Oryctolagus cuniculus: one gene and its partners. Each later gene encodes a partner of the first gene's protein in a complex. Links are inferred from orthologs where the notes say so. Each region holds a gene or a part of one and is shown on either strand. Other genes may lie near its edges.

Region 1 (4,960 bases):
GCAATTACAGTAGGCATGGCATTTCAGGTACTATGCTATCCTCTAAACATGGAGGTGACCAATCTCATCTTCAGTCCCATTTTGGAAAGCTCTGACTCAGGCAGGCTCTGGAGGGAAATTTCTGAAGTACACATTTTGGGCGATGCAAAGCCTCCAATTCTGCCAGAGGAGTTGATCACAAGCAGGAACAGAGAAACACACTGAGCACGTCTGTGCCCAGGGACTCTGGACAGTGATGGCCACATGGTCCCAGGCACTGTTTTCCCTGCAGCCACTCTGTGTCCACAGAAGTGACTCAGAGGCTGGCATCGGGAACAAGTTTTGTTTAACCCACACTACTTCCAACAGTTCCCCCCAGAATCAACAGCTCACTGATGAACCACCAGAACCAGGAAGAAAGGAGTTGAAAGGCAGCATCATCAACAGGAAATAAAACATTTTTATTGAATATCCGTGTAATATGTTAAGTCATTTTTAACAACAATCAGAAAACTACTGTGGAATTCACTACACAAAGAGAAACAAAATTTAAACCACTTCATCAAAAAATGAACGTAAAGTACAGCTAAAGGGGTCGGCTCGCGGGCCTCGAGCCATATGGCAGAAGAAAACACCCTGACATTGCTACAAGATACAGGGAAAACCCACACGTAGAAACACTCAAGCAGGCAATAAATATACACAAAGGCAACTAGGATCTTTCTAGAGCATCAGAATCTAACACTTTACACAGCTTTGTCAGGAAGGGACAAGTGGCTTGTCCGAGAAAGGGTCTTGGTCATCAAGCAGGTTTGGTCGCTGACTTCTGAGGGTGGCATAGTACCAGCGGTTCTATGGTGACAATCCCATGTCTGGCAGTGTTGCAAGAGAATGCATTAGTAGTACTTTAATGCAAGAAATAATGTATATTAGGCAGCCTGAACCTGCTTGTTTTAAAGTGTTGTTTCACTGCGAACAACTTAAAGCTGAATAGAGTGAAATTAAATGCCAGTTTCTGGTATTTAAGGAATTTTCAAAAGTCAATCAATTCCCTTTCTTTGGTAGGGTTTGGTCCTTTGTACTGGAAAGAGTCTCATTTGAATTTCCTGTTCACCTCTATGCTTTGTCTCAAATTATGACTTGTGACTTATTTCTACTGTCTATGTTTCTTTTAAGAAGTAGGGACCATTGACAGAAGAAGGAGATATTTTTCTTTGATCTTTTGTGTCTGTCCCAGCACTAAACCATTCACTGTGACTGGGCTGAAAGGTGGAAGGGTCTGCCTCTTTGATGAGAAAGAATCATGACAAGAATTCTAGTTTTGTTGGGAAACAGCCAAGCCCATGTTCAAAGCCTACCATCAGCCCTTTTTGAATTCTCTTGAATTTTTCAAAAGTAAACATGGCGTGATATCCTAAGGGCCGAACACGAGGCCAAGGCTTGGGTTTCCTCCATTTTGTTTTGGTCTATGTGAATATAAACTTTGACGTTGGAACATCACTACTCTCTGTGGCCTGAAGGTTCACGCGGGTCACAGAAGTGAGTGAGATGAAAGGCCAGATGCACTACACGTACATCGGCTGCCCTTCCACAGGGTGGTTTGTCTGCCGTAGCGGGGGGGTGGGGGAAGAATATGGCATATTGCACAGTGCTTGACAAAGTGCTGTGTGTTCCACCCCGCTCTATGTCTCTTTCTTGTCCTCTGCATAGCTTTTCCGTTGCAGATTGGTCCTTTGTAATGAGAACTGTTTGTGCTACACACACCTTGGGCAGTGCAGTAGAGGGAATGGCAGTATTGTTACATTATCACTAAGGAGTAAGTTGAGTGCTATCCACTGAGGAAACTACGTGTCTAAGCACACAGGGCAGTCACAGTGTTACACAGAGCAGTCCTTAAGACGCTTATGGAATGACTAGTAGCTTCTTAATAGTGCCATGTACTACAGAATAACATGGAAAACATTTAAAAACGCCTCCTAAATCAAGCATCTAGTATACATAAGAGGTTGCTTCAGGGTTCTAGAACTTGTTCTTGGTTTTGTTTCACCTTGTTAAAGGACAAATTAAAACTTATTGAAGTAAAAAGAGTATATAAAAAGATCACTAGCTGTCTGTTTTGGCTTAATTGAAGTGCATTCAGAACTATGGCTAAATTTATTTTTCATCTTTAGACGGGATTACAATACTGTCTGTTTACCACAAAGTAGTTTTGTGTAATAAGCACAGATTGCTGTGTTAAAAATATTCTGCATTCCTTCTAGTCTGGATTTGTATAATAAAATATTTTGTTACAAAGTCTAATGTGCAAATCTTTTGGAATTATTATAGGAGTGAAATCTGGAACAGAACCCGCAGGATGTACATTTTGTATAAAGGTGATAACGGAGAGCTGCTTTTTTCTTTTTAATAGTCAGGCAACATTTCAGAAATGCTGACTTTTCTTTTTAGCTTCTTCTCCCGCTCACCCATCCCTCATTTCCCCATCAAAAATGCACCCCCCCCACCTCCCACCCCAACACCCGTCCACACTGAACACTACATAGTGTCACTGGAGATGCAGTGACGTGAGCTCACTGACTCCTGTCCAGTTGCCTCCTCAGATGTCAGCGTGAAGCCGTGATCGTAGCTTTACTCACAGGTATGGACAGATGCTACTCTGGTTCGTGGCTATGCTTCCTTGAGGTCTGCCAAAATGCTGCTCAGATCATGCTGTTTTGCCTGTGAAGGGATTTTACAAAACTGGAGTCACCCACCAAATAGGTGGCATAAGCGGATCTTGGTACTCAAATGACTCAATAGAAAGCTCAGGTTTAAGTTGTCCTTTAAGATGTCCGTTTAACTGTACTAGTGCCTTACAAGTTGATATTTTTGCTGGAATGCAGACGATACTATATTTACCATATAATATATTATCAGCTCTCCTATATCTCAGTCCATTTACATAGTTTAAAATAGAACATCTTATTAAAAACATCTAGATATACACAGATTAGGAAACGCTTACAACATACAAATACACAAACTAGAAATGAATCTTGAGCATACTGGTATATACAACAGTGTGATACAATAAATAATTTCCGTCATGCTCTATCTACACATCATATTGCTTAAAAGAAGATTAGATTTGGAGGGCAGTGGTATGATGAAGGGCTTAGGGGCTCTCTACACTTAAATTTGTGCAAATTAAAACAGGAGTTGAAGTACCACTGAATCGTGTTGGGAATGCATGGCTGGGAAAATGAAAGGACCCCTATTACTGAGGTATTTACAGATACTGGCTAAAGAGCACTATGTGGGCAAATGCAGAAAGGTTGCTTCTTTCCTTTACTTCTTGACGGCCAGCATGGCATCAACCTCCTCCTCCACCTGAAGGGTGTGCCACTGGGCGATGGGTCGCCTGGGGTTGGCCAGCATGTCTGACCAGTGTCGCAGCTCCGCACCAGTGCTGTTGTAGCCCACAAACACTTTGCCGATGGCATCGTTCTTGCCAATCTTGTCATAGTCCAAAACAGTTACCACCACTTGCACTTTCTGAAAGAGGATGAACAATAAATGTTAATCACCTAGACAGACAGATAAATCCCTGTTATAACACTTCCTTAAGATCTAAAGAAGGGACGGCGCTGTGGCACAGCAAGTTCTTGCCCTGGCCTGCAGCGCCAGCATCCTACATGGGCACCGGTTCGAGTCCCAGCTGCTCCACTTCTGATTCAGCTCCCTGCTGAAGCACCTGGGAAGGCCGTGGAAGATGGCCCAAGTCCTGGGACCCCTGCACCCACATGAGTATCTTGTAGAAGTTCCTGGCTTCTGGCTTCGGATCAGCTCAGCTCTGGCTGTTTAGGCCATTTGGGGAGTGAACCAGCAGATGGAAGACCTCTCTCTCTTTCTTGCTCTCTCTCTCTCTATGTAACTCTGTCTTTCAAATACATAAAATAAATATTTAAAAAACCCTAAAGAATTGGAAATAAGAAGAATGAATTTCCAGTCACCAGGAAGAGGATGAAAATGAGTTGAACATGAAAACCTGTGTTCAGGGGCCAGCACTGTGGCATAGTGAGTTAAGCTGCCACCTATGACAATGCCAGCACCTCCTGTGAATCCCGGATGCTCCATTTCCAATCTGTCTCCTTTCTGATGAAATGGGAAAGCAGTAGCAGATGACCCCAAGTGTTTTGGTCCCTTACACCCATGCGGGAGACCCAGATAAAATTCTAGGATCTTGGCTTTGGCCTGGCCACGAGGGCCATTGTGGCCTTTTGTGAAGTGAATTCTTTCTCCTCCTCTCTCTGTGTAACTCTGTCTTTCAAATAAAATAAATCTTTAAGAAAAAGAAAACTTGGCTCTGGTCTTAGTTTTTCCATTACTATATCATCATTGTCACTATCTTCACCATCAGAACCCTTAAATGCTAATTTGTGTTACATATTTTGCATTCGTCTGAGTCTCATATAGGAACTAACTCAGTCCTCACAGTAGATCCCATTAATATTGCTATTATACAAAAATGGATGCTTGAAGCTCAGAGAAGTTACATAACCTGTCAGAGACGGCATAAGAAATGAGTGGTTTGGTTGCCAGAGCCTCTGCTACAAAGCACTAGGCCATGCTTCCTGTGGAAACGTGTTCATCTCTAAATCCGCTCATCTCAGTTGTTATCATCAGTGACGGTTTTCCCATTGGTACTCAGGCCGTTCTCTCTTTGGTTGCATTTCTCAAAGCAACCTTGTGCTATACTCCCATTTCAGGAGGGGAAACAGCCAGTATTTTTCATAAAACTAATATAGAATATCGGCCATTGGAGGGTGAACCAACGGCAAAGGAAGACCTTTCTCTCTCTGTCTCTCTCTCACTGTCCACTCTGCCTGTCAAAAAAAAAAAAAAAAAACAAACAAACAAACAAACAAAAAAAAACTAATATAGAATTTGAGCTAAGCTTACAAGGGTAAAATGTGATAATACAGTGAAAGTCTTTAGTAAC
Region 2 (5,516 bases), on another chromosome or scaffold:
TGGCCGAGGGAGACCAGCCCGGCAGTCAGTGGCCAGATGTCATACGAACAACCCCAGGACAGGTGCGGGCCGAGGCTGAGCTGTGAGGTCAGAGGTCACAGGTCGGGAAGAGCAGGGCGCCGTCCGGGCAGCAGGCCTCGGGCTGCCCAGGGAGAGCACAGGTGGGGGGTGGACAGGAGGTCAGAGGGAGCCAGGTGAGAGGGCGGCGCCTGAGACGCAGCGCCAGGGCCCCACGGCTGAGCCGGGCACACGGGAGCCTGCCCTGGGCGGGGACCGCGCTCGCCTCTCTGTCCAGCAGCACTGACCCCAAGCCCCGCCCTCGTGCTCCCAGGTGACATCATGGACTCCGTGTCCAGCAGGGTGGCCGAGGGGGACAGGGCAGGGTGGGACCAGCAGCGTCTGCTTCTCACACAGCACCCAGGAGGAAGTCCTGCAGCCTCCTGGACTTCGCCACCGTCCACACCAGGCTCCCTCCAGCTCTCCGCATCGACAGGCCCACAGGCCAGCTGCCTGGACATCGAGGGCCAGGGGCATGCACCCTGCCAGGGAGCCTGCGTGACACCAGCCCGGCACAGGGGCGGCTGTCCGTCTGCTGCAGGTCCCGTGTCCACAGCAGCCACAGCCTCCCACAGCCGTGCCCCAGCACGGCTTGCCTGAGACCCCAGCCGCGCAGACGGGAAGGCCCTGGGCGCTGCCCCCTGCAGGGATGCTGGCAGCCCAGGGAGCTGGAGGGTAAGGGGGCCGCCCTCCCCTCGTGTCTGCTCCGTCTCTGTGAGCGGGTGCACGTGTGTGTACATGTGTGCCTGTGCACGCATGCGTGCTGAGAGGTGAACGTGTGTGTGTGCCCACGGCCGTCCACTGCCTCTCCCTCCTGCATGTCCGTGAGCACGTGCACGTGTGTGCGTGGGCATGCATGTGTGCGGGGGTGCGTGTCTGTCTCCACCCCTGCCTGCCCTGCAGTCACTTTTCTCCCGTGCCTGGGTCTCAGCCGCCACCTTCCCCGGACGCTTTGACCTGTGGAGGCCCGGGGTCTGCCCTTCCTCCACTGCTCCCCGGGACACCCACAGCGCCCGGGCCAGGGTCTCTGTCCCCGCCCCCGCCTGTCCTCCCTGGGTGGCTTCCTGGAGCCTCCCGCTCCCGCTCCCGCTCCCGCTCCTGCCAGGGTCCTGCGTCCAGGCTCTGTCTTTCCCTCAGTGTCTCTGCCGACCTCTGCTGCCTGTCGGTCTGGGGCCTGCCCCTCACCCTCGCCCCCGCCAGAGACCCAGAAACGTCGCCACTGGGAGAGGAAGGCTTCGCCCGGGCTCAAGGACGCCAGACACCGCCCAGCAGCCGCGCTCAGTGTCCAGGCGCCCGGTGTAGCCATCGGAGAGCGGGGCCCCCAGGGGCCACCCCTGGCTGCTCACAGCCACTGCAGGGGCACAAAGAGCGAATCCAGGCTGGCGATTCCCTGGCTAACTTCACCGTGTAGACAGCCACACCAGATACTGCGGTTTCCAGAGGCCCACCTCAGGGCCTGAGCCAGCCGCTGGCCAACTGCCCACAACACGTGTCGTGGAGCCTGGACTCTGCCTGTCCCTGAGCCTGGTCCCGGTGACGTCAGCGCCACAGCGGGACTCAGCCGCAGCCCACCCTGGACCGTGACAGCCCAGGGAGTGCGGCCTGGGCCAGGCTCAGACGTTTCCTGCTGCCTCAGAACAGAGGTCTCCCGTCCTGTCCCCAGCCCAGAGGCACCGGGTCAGACAGAGGCCACCCTGAGCGCCACCCCGGCACAGACGCAGGCATTGGCACAGGCCCCATCCCAGGAGCTGACCCGGGGGAGCTGGGTGCCCAGGACAGGCTGCCCTGTGCAGACCCCACACGCACCCAGACGGCCCCAAAGCCTCGCAACCCCTCAGCCCACTGCCCGCCACCTCCTGGCCAGGGACCCAGCCACGGGTCCAGCATGTGGTCAGGTAGCGGGTGGCACCGCTCTGGTGGACGGGCCTGGGCCCCACAAGCTGCCTGGGCCCCTTCTTTGGCCCGGGTCCTGGGGACAGTGCCACCACCACCTGGGTGAAACCCACCGGGCTTCCCACAGCTCTGTCCGCCTGGAGATGCCGCTGCCGTCAGGCCTGGCTGGGACCTACCCTAGGTCCTCCAACTGAGCTTTGCCCGACTCGCCTGCCCCTGCCTCTCACGGCCCCTTCCCGGGCCTCCTCGCCTCGTCCCCTTGGGGCATCCACAAGGTGTGCGGTGGCCCCTCGCTGCCATAGCGGGTGCATCCGTCTGGACCTGCTCCCCATGGGGCCGCCCCAAGCCCCCTCCCTGGCCCCGGCCCCGCTCCCTACCTCCCAGGGCCTGCTTCATCACGAACTCCATGACGAAGGTCTCAGCGCCTCAGCGAGGGTCAGAATTCACATGCGAGTGTGGCCGCGAGTTCTCCTCCTGGGGGAGAGAGTGGTCAGAGGCCCGGGGGCTCCTCCCTGTCCCCTGCCGGCCTCCCCTGGCAAGGTCTGGGGTCCCGATGCCTCGTGGGCTGGACCCTGCAGGGGAAGGTGGCCGTGGGGAGGGCCCCGAGGTAGGCTGGGGCGCACTGGTCCCTGCACAGGCCAGGGCAGCGGGCCCGATGCCAGCCAGCTCTCAGGCGCCTGCAGGGAGGGGCACGGCTGCAGGAGTCTGGCACAGCCGCAGAGCGGGCGGCCCAGGGGCGTTTGAAGGTGACTGCTCTGCCTTGCAGCTCCTGGGGCTGGGGGGGGGGGTCCTGTGCCTTCCGACCAGGAGCCACTGCGGTGCCAAGCCACGGGGGCGGCCTGGGGGGCAGGCAGGGGCTGGACACCCCCCATCTGCAGGCTTCCTGTGAACCCAGGTGCCGCAGAGCCCCTGTGTGGGAGACCCAGCCCCATGGGTCCCGGGTTGACCTCCTTCCCTCCGCAGAGGAAGGAGACCCCCAGGGGGCGGGGAGGGGGCTGGGCAGGGAACGCCTCCGGCAGGGCTGGCCCCAAGGGCACCTTCGCTGCCGCCCCCTGCTCTGCCCAAGTTCTGCCCGGGCTGAGAGCCCACGGGGACTAAAGACCCAGGCCCGCCGCCTGCCCCGCTGCCGCTCGGCTGTGCGGGCTGGCGAGGCGCCCTGGGCGGAAGCGCGAAGACGAAAGGACAGAGGGAGGCGGGGGCCGGGGGCAGGTCGGCGGGGTGGGGGGGCCGGGGCCGGGGCCGAGACGGAACGGCGGGAAGAGGGGACGGAGGCGGAGGAGAAGGAGCGGGCGCGGGGCCGCTTCAGCACCGCGGCGGGGACAGCGGCCGCCGGGCGGGGAGCGCGGGAGCTCAGCGGACCTGGGCGGGGCCGGGTTGCGGGGCGCCGGGTGCGGGCGCCAGGACCAGAGCAGGGGCCGGGGTGCGAGGTGCGGGGCCGGGGCTCGGGACTGGAGAGCGGGAGAGCCCGGGCTCGCGGCTGCAGCCCGGGTGCGGGGTGCGGGGAGCGGGACCGGCGCTCGGGGCCGGGGTGCACGGAGCGGGGAGCGGGTCCGGCACTCAGGGCCGGGGCCGGGGCCGCGGGGCAGGGGGAGCAGGCCCGGGGCTGGAGCCCTCACCTCCGGGCGTCAGCGCGGCGTGCTCGGGCCGGCCGGGTCCATGTGGCGGCAGCGACTGCGGCGCTGAAGGGCACGGCGGGGAGCGGGACGCGGGGCGCGGGGCGCGGGGCGCGCGCGTCACTTGGGGCCGCCCCCCCGCGTCGGGCGTGACGGGGAGGGCGGGGCCGCGCGGTCGGGGCGGGGGGCGGAGCCAGTGTGCGGTGCGGTGCGGAGCGCTGGCTGCAGACCCTGGCCCCAGCGAGACCCGGACTCCGCCCCCCGCCCCGGCCCTGGCGAGACTCCGACCCCGACGTCGACCTCGCCCCCGCCAGGCCAGGCCCGGGCCCTCCACGGGAACCCGGACACCCCCTGTTCTCGGGGTCCTTGCAGCGCGGGTCTAGGGAGAGGACCCCAGCCCCCAGCGGCCCCCCATTCCCTCGCCCGCAGAGCCGGCTCCGACCCGGGTAGATTCCCGGTATCACTAGGAGAGACCCTTGCCGGCCCTGCCACCTTGACCCCCCCTCAGCCCCAGCCGGGCTGCTTCAGAGGCCTGGACCAGGAACAGCTTCGGTGCAGGCGAGAGAGTGGCCCCTCCTCTCCGCGGGACCTGGTGATGGCCCCACAGTGACCTGCCTTGGACAGCACCACCAGTTACCGCAAGGGTGACCCCTGGGGCCTGTGGCTCACCCCAGTGACCTCACAAGGAGCCTGTGAGGAGGCCCTGGGCAGTGAGCAGCGGCACAGGCCCAGCACGGAGCAGTCCAGGCTGTGGCCTAAACTCCGGGCTAACTCTATGGTCCAGGCCTATGGATGCACACACAGCCTGGAGCCACAGCCTTGCCCGGAGCAGAGAGAGCCCTCTGCCAGCCTGGACTGGGGCCCGTACTTCTCAGCGCCCGCTCTCCCCTCCATCCCTCCCTCCCTCTCTCTCTGACTCTCTGTCTCTCTCGTTCTCATTACTCCGTTTGTGTCCACCCATGCCTTTCTCAGCTCTCAGCTGGGAGTGGGGGCCAGGCAGGACTCAGACCACCCCAGGGGACACAGCGTGGCTGGTGGCAGTCCCGGCAGAGTGGGAGGCAGGCTGGGCACAGCCGCCCAGCCGGAGGCAGAGCCTGGGCCGGGTTGCTGGCAGAGACCTCACCTGGCCACGTGGCCACAGCGGGACAGGGCACAGTCTCTGTGTGGAAGCCAGGATGTTTGACGGGGCCAGCTGGGGCGGCCACAGGGGTTGGGGCTGGAGTTGCACAAGGTCCAGTTGCACAAGGTGAGGTCCAGATGCCGAGCCCCAGCCGAGGGACCCTTGGCCGGCCGCGTGGACCCGGGAGTGGCCCGGTAGGCCAGGAGCTCCAGGAGGGCAAAGCAGGGCCAGGCAAGGACCCCAGGGGCTGGGTTGAAGCCCCGCCCACCCACATGTGCCCAAGCCCTGTGTGGTGGGGTGGGGTCTCGAAGGGCGTCTGTCCCATGGCTCTTGTAGATAGGCCCCACCCCCACCCCAGCAGTGGCACCTGAAGCTGCACCTCTGGAGTGAGACAGCATGTGACGCCCCTGGGGGCAGCCAGCCGGTCCCCATGTGGCTGGTGTCCCAGCCCTGCTGTGCAGCCTCTGGGGCCTGGGAGCTCGGCCTTGGGGCTCCTGGCGCAGAGCTGGCGGCAGAAACAGAGCCCAGGCGCTGTGGCATAGCAGGTTGGGCCTCAGCCTGCGGCACTGGTTCGAGTCCCAGCTGCTGCACTTCCAATCCAGCTCCCTGCTAATGCACCTGGGAAAGCAGTGGAAGATGCCCAGGTGCTTGGGCCCTGCACCCACATGGGAGACCTGGAAGAAGCTCCTGGCTCCTGGCGTTGGCCTGGCCCAGCTTAGAACATTGTGGCCATCCGGGGAGTGAACCAGGCTCGGACGACCACTCTCTGTCACTCTACCTTTCAAACAGATAAAACAAAATCTTATTAAAAAGATAAAGTTCACAGAAAATGA
Region 3 (5,742 bases), on another chromosome or scaffold:
ATCTTCCCCCAGAACTTAAAAGTGCTTCTTCCAAGAGTACAAGATTTCTATTTTAGCAAGTAATGAATCAATAACGGGGAGTAGCGAAGTCCCCTGGAAGAGGAGAAATGGCTCCCTCCTTGCAGGACTTGGCTATAACCTAATTGCAATATTAACATTTAAATAAAGAATGTATCAACCTCAAGGGCCAGCAAGGAAAGCCTAGTAAAGGCAGAGTCCCTGAGGCCCAGTGGGCAGAGCCATTGCAAGTACCAAGTACCACCCTGGAAAGCGCGCTTTAGCCATAATTTTATAGAGGTCCAGGAGCATTGGCAAGGCTGCCTGCAGCACGGAGGTGAGGATATAGAGTTGTTGCCAGGAAGTTTTCTGGACCCGTTGGCATTTGGGGATTGTGGGGAAATTAGGCACACGAGGCAATTCAAAGGTGGGCAGTATCCAAAGTCGAGAAGGTAGACAGCGATTCTGAGGGCGGGCTTGATGGGGAGGTCTGGACTGGAGTCGTTTACCACCAAAGCTGATTGGCCGTGCAGCATCATGGGAGGTGACGACAACTGATGACCAGTGTACAGACATATGGGTGGTCCTGTAAAAAGTCGCCCTGTAAAATGACTTTTTAAGTAATTGGTTGGTCCTTATGCCCTGCCCCAGTAATCCTGCGGTCTTGTTTTAAAAGGCATTGCTACGCATGCAATAAATGAGTTCTTGCTTACTTGACTTGACTCCCTGCTGCGTCTGACTGACCCCGGGATGGGGGGGTAGGGCTGGGGAACCGGCGAGCGGCACACTTAGCTTTCTTCGGACCCAGTCCATCCTTGTTTGGGTGGACTAAGACCCTGCAGGGGATGGCGAGATGCCATTAAAGATACAGATACTCCAGTTCTGTCGTCGGGGCATTTATACATTGACATTGTCATTCTGATTTGGCTTCAAGGAGAAAAGACACATAGACATGAATTTTCAGTCTGGTTGACAGTAAAATTTTCATGGTGGGCTAATCCATGTTGTGGCTTTACATTTTAGTAAATGGTGAATTTTGTTCGCACACATGAGTATTTCCGAGACCCAGCTTTGGAGCCTATAAAACGTAGGCCTGCATCTCTCTCAGTGGTAAATTCAACATGGCAGATGCCCCCCGTGAGATCCCTTGGGACACAGCCTGTGAACCTTTTCCACGTCATATATCCCAGCACTCTGAAACTTCCGCATGGAATGAGGATCACATACTGTTAGATGTGAAAAGGATCGGATGAAGCATCCAGCCCAACCTCTCCACTTCCCAGATAAGAAAACTGAGTTTCGCAGAAGTTAGAGAGCTTGGAACCGGTGCATTTGGCACAAGGGTTAAGCCACCACTTGGGATGTGTGCATCCCATATTGGGATGCCTGGTTGAGTCCCAGCTACTTGACTTGTAATCCAGTTTCCAGCTAATGTGCACTGTGGGAGGCAACAGATGATGGCTCAAGTACTTGGGTCACCCATGTGGGAGACCCAGATTGAGTTCTAGGCTCCTGGCTTTGGCCTGGCTGAGCCCTAGATGTTGACAGGCGTTTGGAGAGTGAACCAGCAGATGGGAGACCCCCCCCCCCCTTTCCTTCTCTGTCCTTATGTTTTTCAAATAAAATGAAAAATACATTTTTAAAAATTAAAATGATATAAACTAAAAAGCTATAGGAAAAAAAAAAAGTAGAGAACTTGACCAAGAGCTGACAGCTTGTTAGAAGTGAGAACCCAGGTCAGGCCAGCCTATGCCAAGGCCCTGCCTGCAATAGGCTCGCTCAGGATGTACAGCCCCAAACCACCCCTGTAGCCTCTCATTGTCCCCGGAGTAGCCGTGGTCCCCCAGTGTCACCAAGTAGTATGTCCAGTTTATTGGTACAGGGACAAAGGAAAGATAGAACTGAAACCAATTCACGCCTGTCTGCCTGCAAGTGGGTGGCGGGGGGGGGGGGGGGAGTGAGAGTGAGAGTGAGAGTGAGAGATAGAGAGGCCGGGCTATGATGGAGGGAGGGAGTGAAGCAAAGAGGAGAAGGGCTTTGTGGGGGCTCCTGTTTAAGTCCTTGGAGCATGAATGGCAGGGGCACTCACTGCCAGATCTGCAAAAAGCCCCTTCGCTTCTGCAGTCCCCATCCCTGCTGCACCCAGTGCCCGGAGGAGCGGGCTGAAGGAGAGCTGGCAGGGCTCCAGCAGGCTTGGCCTCCGGCTGTGCGCGATGAAAGCCACACCTTGTTAGCCCCGCCATCTCCTAAACACCCAGGTAAAGGTGGAGCACTCTCCTTAGGGGAGGAGGCTGTGGGAAAGGGGTTTGCCTAGGAGCCGTGGAGCCCGTGGAAGGCGGGCGTTTTGCAGAGAGCAAGAGCCCCTGACCCTCGTGGGTTCTGCCACACTGGGTCGGGGGTGCCCAGGAAGGGGCTGCCTTCTCCCCCACCTCCCTGTCTGTGCGCTCCTCTTGTTGGCGTCACGATTTCTGTCTTTCCTTACTTCAGGGTTGACTGGGAAGGGGCTGCGAAGGGCTGTTGGGCATTTTCTGCTGTAGCCGCGACAGTCTCCTCTAGCCCCTCATCTTTCTCCACGGTGCCCTGGGTCCCTCCATCCTCTTTGCTTCGCCCCCCCAACAATGGTCTCTCCCGCCGCTCAGTGGCGCGGGGAGGGGGGGGGCGCGGAGGCGGGGCCGGGGGGGGGGGCAGGTCTGCATTGCCGCTTCCCCCGGTGCCCGAGCAGTCGCCGCTGCCGCCTCAGCCCGCCGCCCGGACCCCCGCCCTCTCCCGGGACCAGCTGGCCGGGGTAGCCCAGCCCAGGTGAGACCCTGCTCGCAGCCTCTCATCTCCACCCCGCCCTGCCAGAAGCATCCTTGCCTTGCCTTGCAGCCATTTTACCCTCGGATGCTTTGCTAACGGGGAGGGTGACAGTCCCCGCTCCAAGGGTGGGGTGGGGGGTGGTTTGAAGGTAGACGTTTATTTCAGAGGTTGGGCTGTTCAGGATAGAAAAACGTATGCGTATATGTGTACATTTATTATGTGTGCATATATATGGCGAAATGGGAGGAAGGGGTATATTTTTTCTCCATTCGCCAAGTCCCTACCTCCTCTGAAGATAAGTGAGGTGGGGGGGTTGTTAGGTGGGGTGGGGTTCCCTCAAACTCCAGTTCCCCCCTCATCTCATCCTCCCCTCTTTCTGCCCCCAGCCATGAATGAGAAATGACCTTGGCTGGGGCCAGGGAATGGATGCTGCCTTGGTCAGCTGGCCTGGACCAGGCTGGGTGGGGGCATGGAGGGAAGGGGGCCGAAGAAAGCCCCACTGGGGGGGGCAGAGATGGAACAGACCAGGTGTTGGGGGCACGGATGGGGTGGGGGAGGGGGGTTGAGTGACAGTGGGCACTTGTCCAGAGCAGCCCCAGGGTGCACAGGTGCTCAGAGGAGCAATTCTGTGGGTTATAGGGGCTCATCCTTTGTACCAGAGCTGAGGAGATGGGCGCAGTGGGGGTGGGGTGGGGGGTCAGCGCAGAGGCTGTGTCTGTGCCCCTGCCCGGGGAGGGGGGGGTCTCCCGCATCCCTGCCCCTCTGCCTGCCTCCCCGTGTGCATTCCTCCTGTGCTTTCTCAGCTGACACCTTCATTTTTTTTCTCTCAGGCTGTGGATGCTCCCCTTTTCCTAGCCCCTGGGGTAGGCTGTGGGCAAGAGAGACGCAGTCTTGTTCTTTGGGTAGGGGCTGAAGCCCAGTCACCCAGTTGCAGTTGGGAGGGGGCTCCAGCACCTTCTACCCCCCCCCCATGCCACCCTTGCATTTGATAAGTGGCTGCTTCCTACTGACCTTGTCCCTGGGGCTGGAGGGGACTGGGTGACAAGGTCTGGATGGCCCTCTAAGTCAGGGGCTTTGACTGGGCAGTGGGGGCTCTGGACCCCCTTACCCAGGGCTGGGCAGGTTGTCCTGAAAGGAAGTGTTTGCCCAGGAGTCGCTGCCCCCTTCTGCCCTCTGCAGAAAATCTCCTGGGCACGTTTTTCCGGTCAGGTGAAGCCAGTCAGCCTTAAAGGGCTGTGCAACCCTGAGTCTCCTCTCCTCCAACCTCTGCCTCCCCAAGTCTTGTCTCTCTCCCACAAGGCTCAGCCACCCTGTGCTGCTTTGGGGGCTAAAAATAGCATGACTGCCTCACCAGCTCAGAGAATGTGTCTCCTTTCTCTGCCTCCTGGCCGGGTGGGCCCTGGGGGAGCCGCGGGGCGGGCGTCGCCGCCAGGACTCTCAGTGTCAGCAGGAACAGGGCCGGCTCCTGGTGGTCCCTCTGCCTCCCTCGGGGTTTGAGGGGCGATCTTGGTGGGGAAGAGAGGGAAGGCCAGTGAATTGTCACACACTGGGGGGATCCCCCAGCTCCCTGTCTTTCGTGGGGGATGGTAGGGCCCTGAACCCTGGAGGAAGGAAGGTGATGTGGGGGTCACTGCTCTGGGTACCGTGGTCCAGTGCTTACATTTGTCCTGAGGGGGGAAGGCTCTGCTTGCCAGTGCTTCTCTCTGGAACCACATAGCATTACTTACCCTCTGCTAGGGAGCCGGGTGCGTGTGTGTGTGTGTGTGTGTGTGTGTGTCTGTGAGAGAGAGAGAGACTGAATGAAGGCCCTGGGTGGGCAGAAGGAGGCAGGATAATTCTAGGGCTGTGATCTCTGATTGGAATCTGGGCCTGCTTCCTCTCTTCTACGAAGGAAGGGAGGGTTATCCCAAGCCTTCTCCTGAAAGGTGTCTCGTCCAAGGAGGCCCAAGGCCCCCTTAGCTGTACGCCAGCCTCCTACGCAATGCAGTATTTGTGGACTCCTTTTCCTTGACTCCTGGAGAAGGAGCAGAAAGGATTAAGGAGGATTAAGGAGGGAGGCCCTGGAGGAATGAAGTACAACCATAGACCTCAGGTTCTCATGATGGAAACAAATGCGTTTGATCATATAGTTAGAGGGGAGAGAGAGAGAGAGAGAGAGAGAGAGGAGAGAGAGAGATCGATCTTCCATCTGTTCCATCTGTTGGTTCACTTCCCAAATGTCTACAACAGCCAGGATTGGGCCAGGTGGAAGCCAGGTGACAAGAACTCAATCCAGGTCTCTAACATGGGCAGCAGGGACCCAAGAACCTGGGCCATCATCTGCTACCTTCCCAGGTGCTTTAGCAGGAAGCTGGATCAGAAGCCAAGGAACCAGTACTCAAACCAGCACCCCTATATGGGATGCTGGCTCCCGAAGGGTAGCTTAACTCACTGTTCCACCATTGCCTGCCTCAGTGCTGGTACCCTCTGTGGCTGCCCTTAAAGGGCATCCAGTGACAGCTTGTGTTTTGGTCCTTGTGGCGGAGGACGGGGCATGTCACTCCATTGCCATCACCAACCGGCAATAGCCACTATTTATTCCTTGCTTTCTACGTGCCAGGCTCTGTGGTAAGGAGTTTATTGCATTGTGTCACTTAAGCCTTACTTTCCCCTTTCTAAATAAGAGGAAACTGAGGCTTGCATGCTCAGAAGCATGCCTGTGGTCACTTAGCTGCTAAGTGCTAAACCCAAGCCTGCCTGGCCAGGTGTGCCGGGCTCTTACCCACTTGGCTATGCTGGGAGGAGACCCCTCAGTGGGAGGCTTACACACGTGTAAGCAAAGGCCATGAAAGTCCAACCTTCAGATGCCCACTGTGGACTGAAGACAACAGTAGGAGGCCTTCTTCTCCTACTCCTCTTCCTCAAGCTCTGCCCCCAGCAAGCAGCCCAGACCAGAATAGCACAGGG

Evidence for each region. Proteins that work in one complex are often made in the same cells at the same time.
Region 2: the proteins of SYT1 (region 1) and CPLX1 are in contact, whole or in part, in a crystal structure (PDB 5W5C), measured with the Rattus norvegicus proteins. The link is inferred for Oryctolagus cuniculus from reciprocal best matches to the Homo sapiens genes SYT1 and CPLX1. Residues at the interface, in NP_001028852.2 of Rattus norvegicus: Glu271, Thr383, Gly384, Glu386, Thr406, Leu407, Gln408, Glu412, Met416; in NP_074055.1 of Rattus norvegicus: Val61, Met62, Gly65, Asp68, Lys69, Tyr70, Lys74.
Region 3: the proteins of SYT1 (region 1) and SV2A are in contact, whole or in part, in a crystal structure (PDB 4V11), measured with the Homo sapiens proteins. The link is inferred for Oryctolagus cuniculus from reciprocal best matches to the Homo sapiens genes SYT1 and SV2A. Residues at the interface, in NP_001129277.1 of Homo sapiens: Thr291, Lys314, Lys326, Lys327, Lys328, Glu342, Ser343, Phe344, Ser345; in NP_001315603.1 of Homo sapiens: Asp82, Thr84, Glu85, Gly86, His87, Asp88.

The regions. Positions count from the first base shown.
Region 1 is NC_091442.1:82,297,236-82,302,195, reverse strand, and holds the end of SYT1 (synaptotagmin-1), read right to left. Parts: intron 3,514-4,960; coding exon 3,307-3,513; 3' UTR 420-3,306; downstream 1-419. UniProt on the Homo sapiens protein: Calcium sensor that participates in triggering neurotransmitter release at the synapse. May have a regulatory role in the membrane interactions during trafficking of synaptic vesicles at the active zone of the synapse.
Region 2 is NC_091433.1:199,112-204,627, forward strand, and holds the start of CPLX1 (complexin-1), read right to left. Parts: upstream 3,723-5,516; 5' UTR 3,567-3,722; intron 2,425-3,566; 5' UTR 2,359-2,424; coding exon 2,328-2,358; intron 1-2,327. UniProt on the Homo sapiens protein: Positively regulates a late step in exocytosis of various cytoplasmic vesicles, such as synaptic vesicles and other secretory vesicles.
Region 3 is NC_091438.1:48,033,323-48,039,064, forward strand, and holds the start of SV2A (synaptic vesicle glycoprotein 2A), read left to right. Parts: upstream 1-2,020; 5' UTR 2,021-2,255; intron 2,256-2,640; exon of another isoform or gene 2,641-2,796; intron 2,797-5,742. UniProt on the Homo sapiens protein: Plays a role in the control of regulated secretion in neural and endocrine cells, enhancing selectively low-frequency neurotransmission.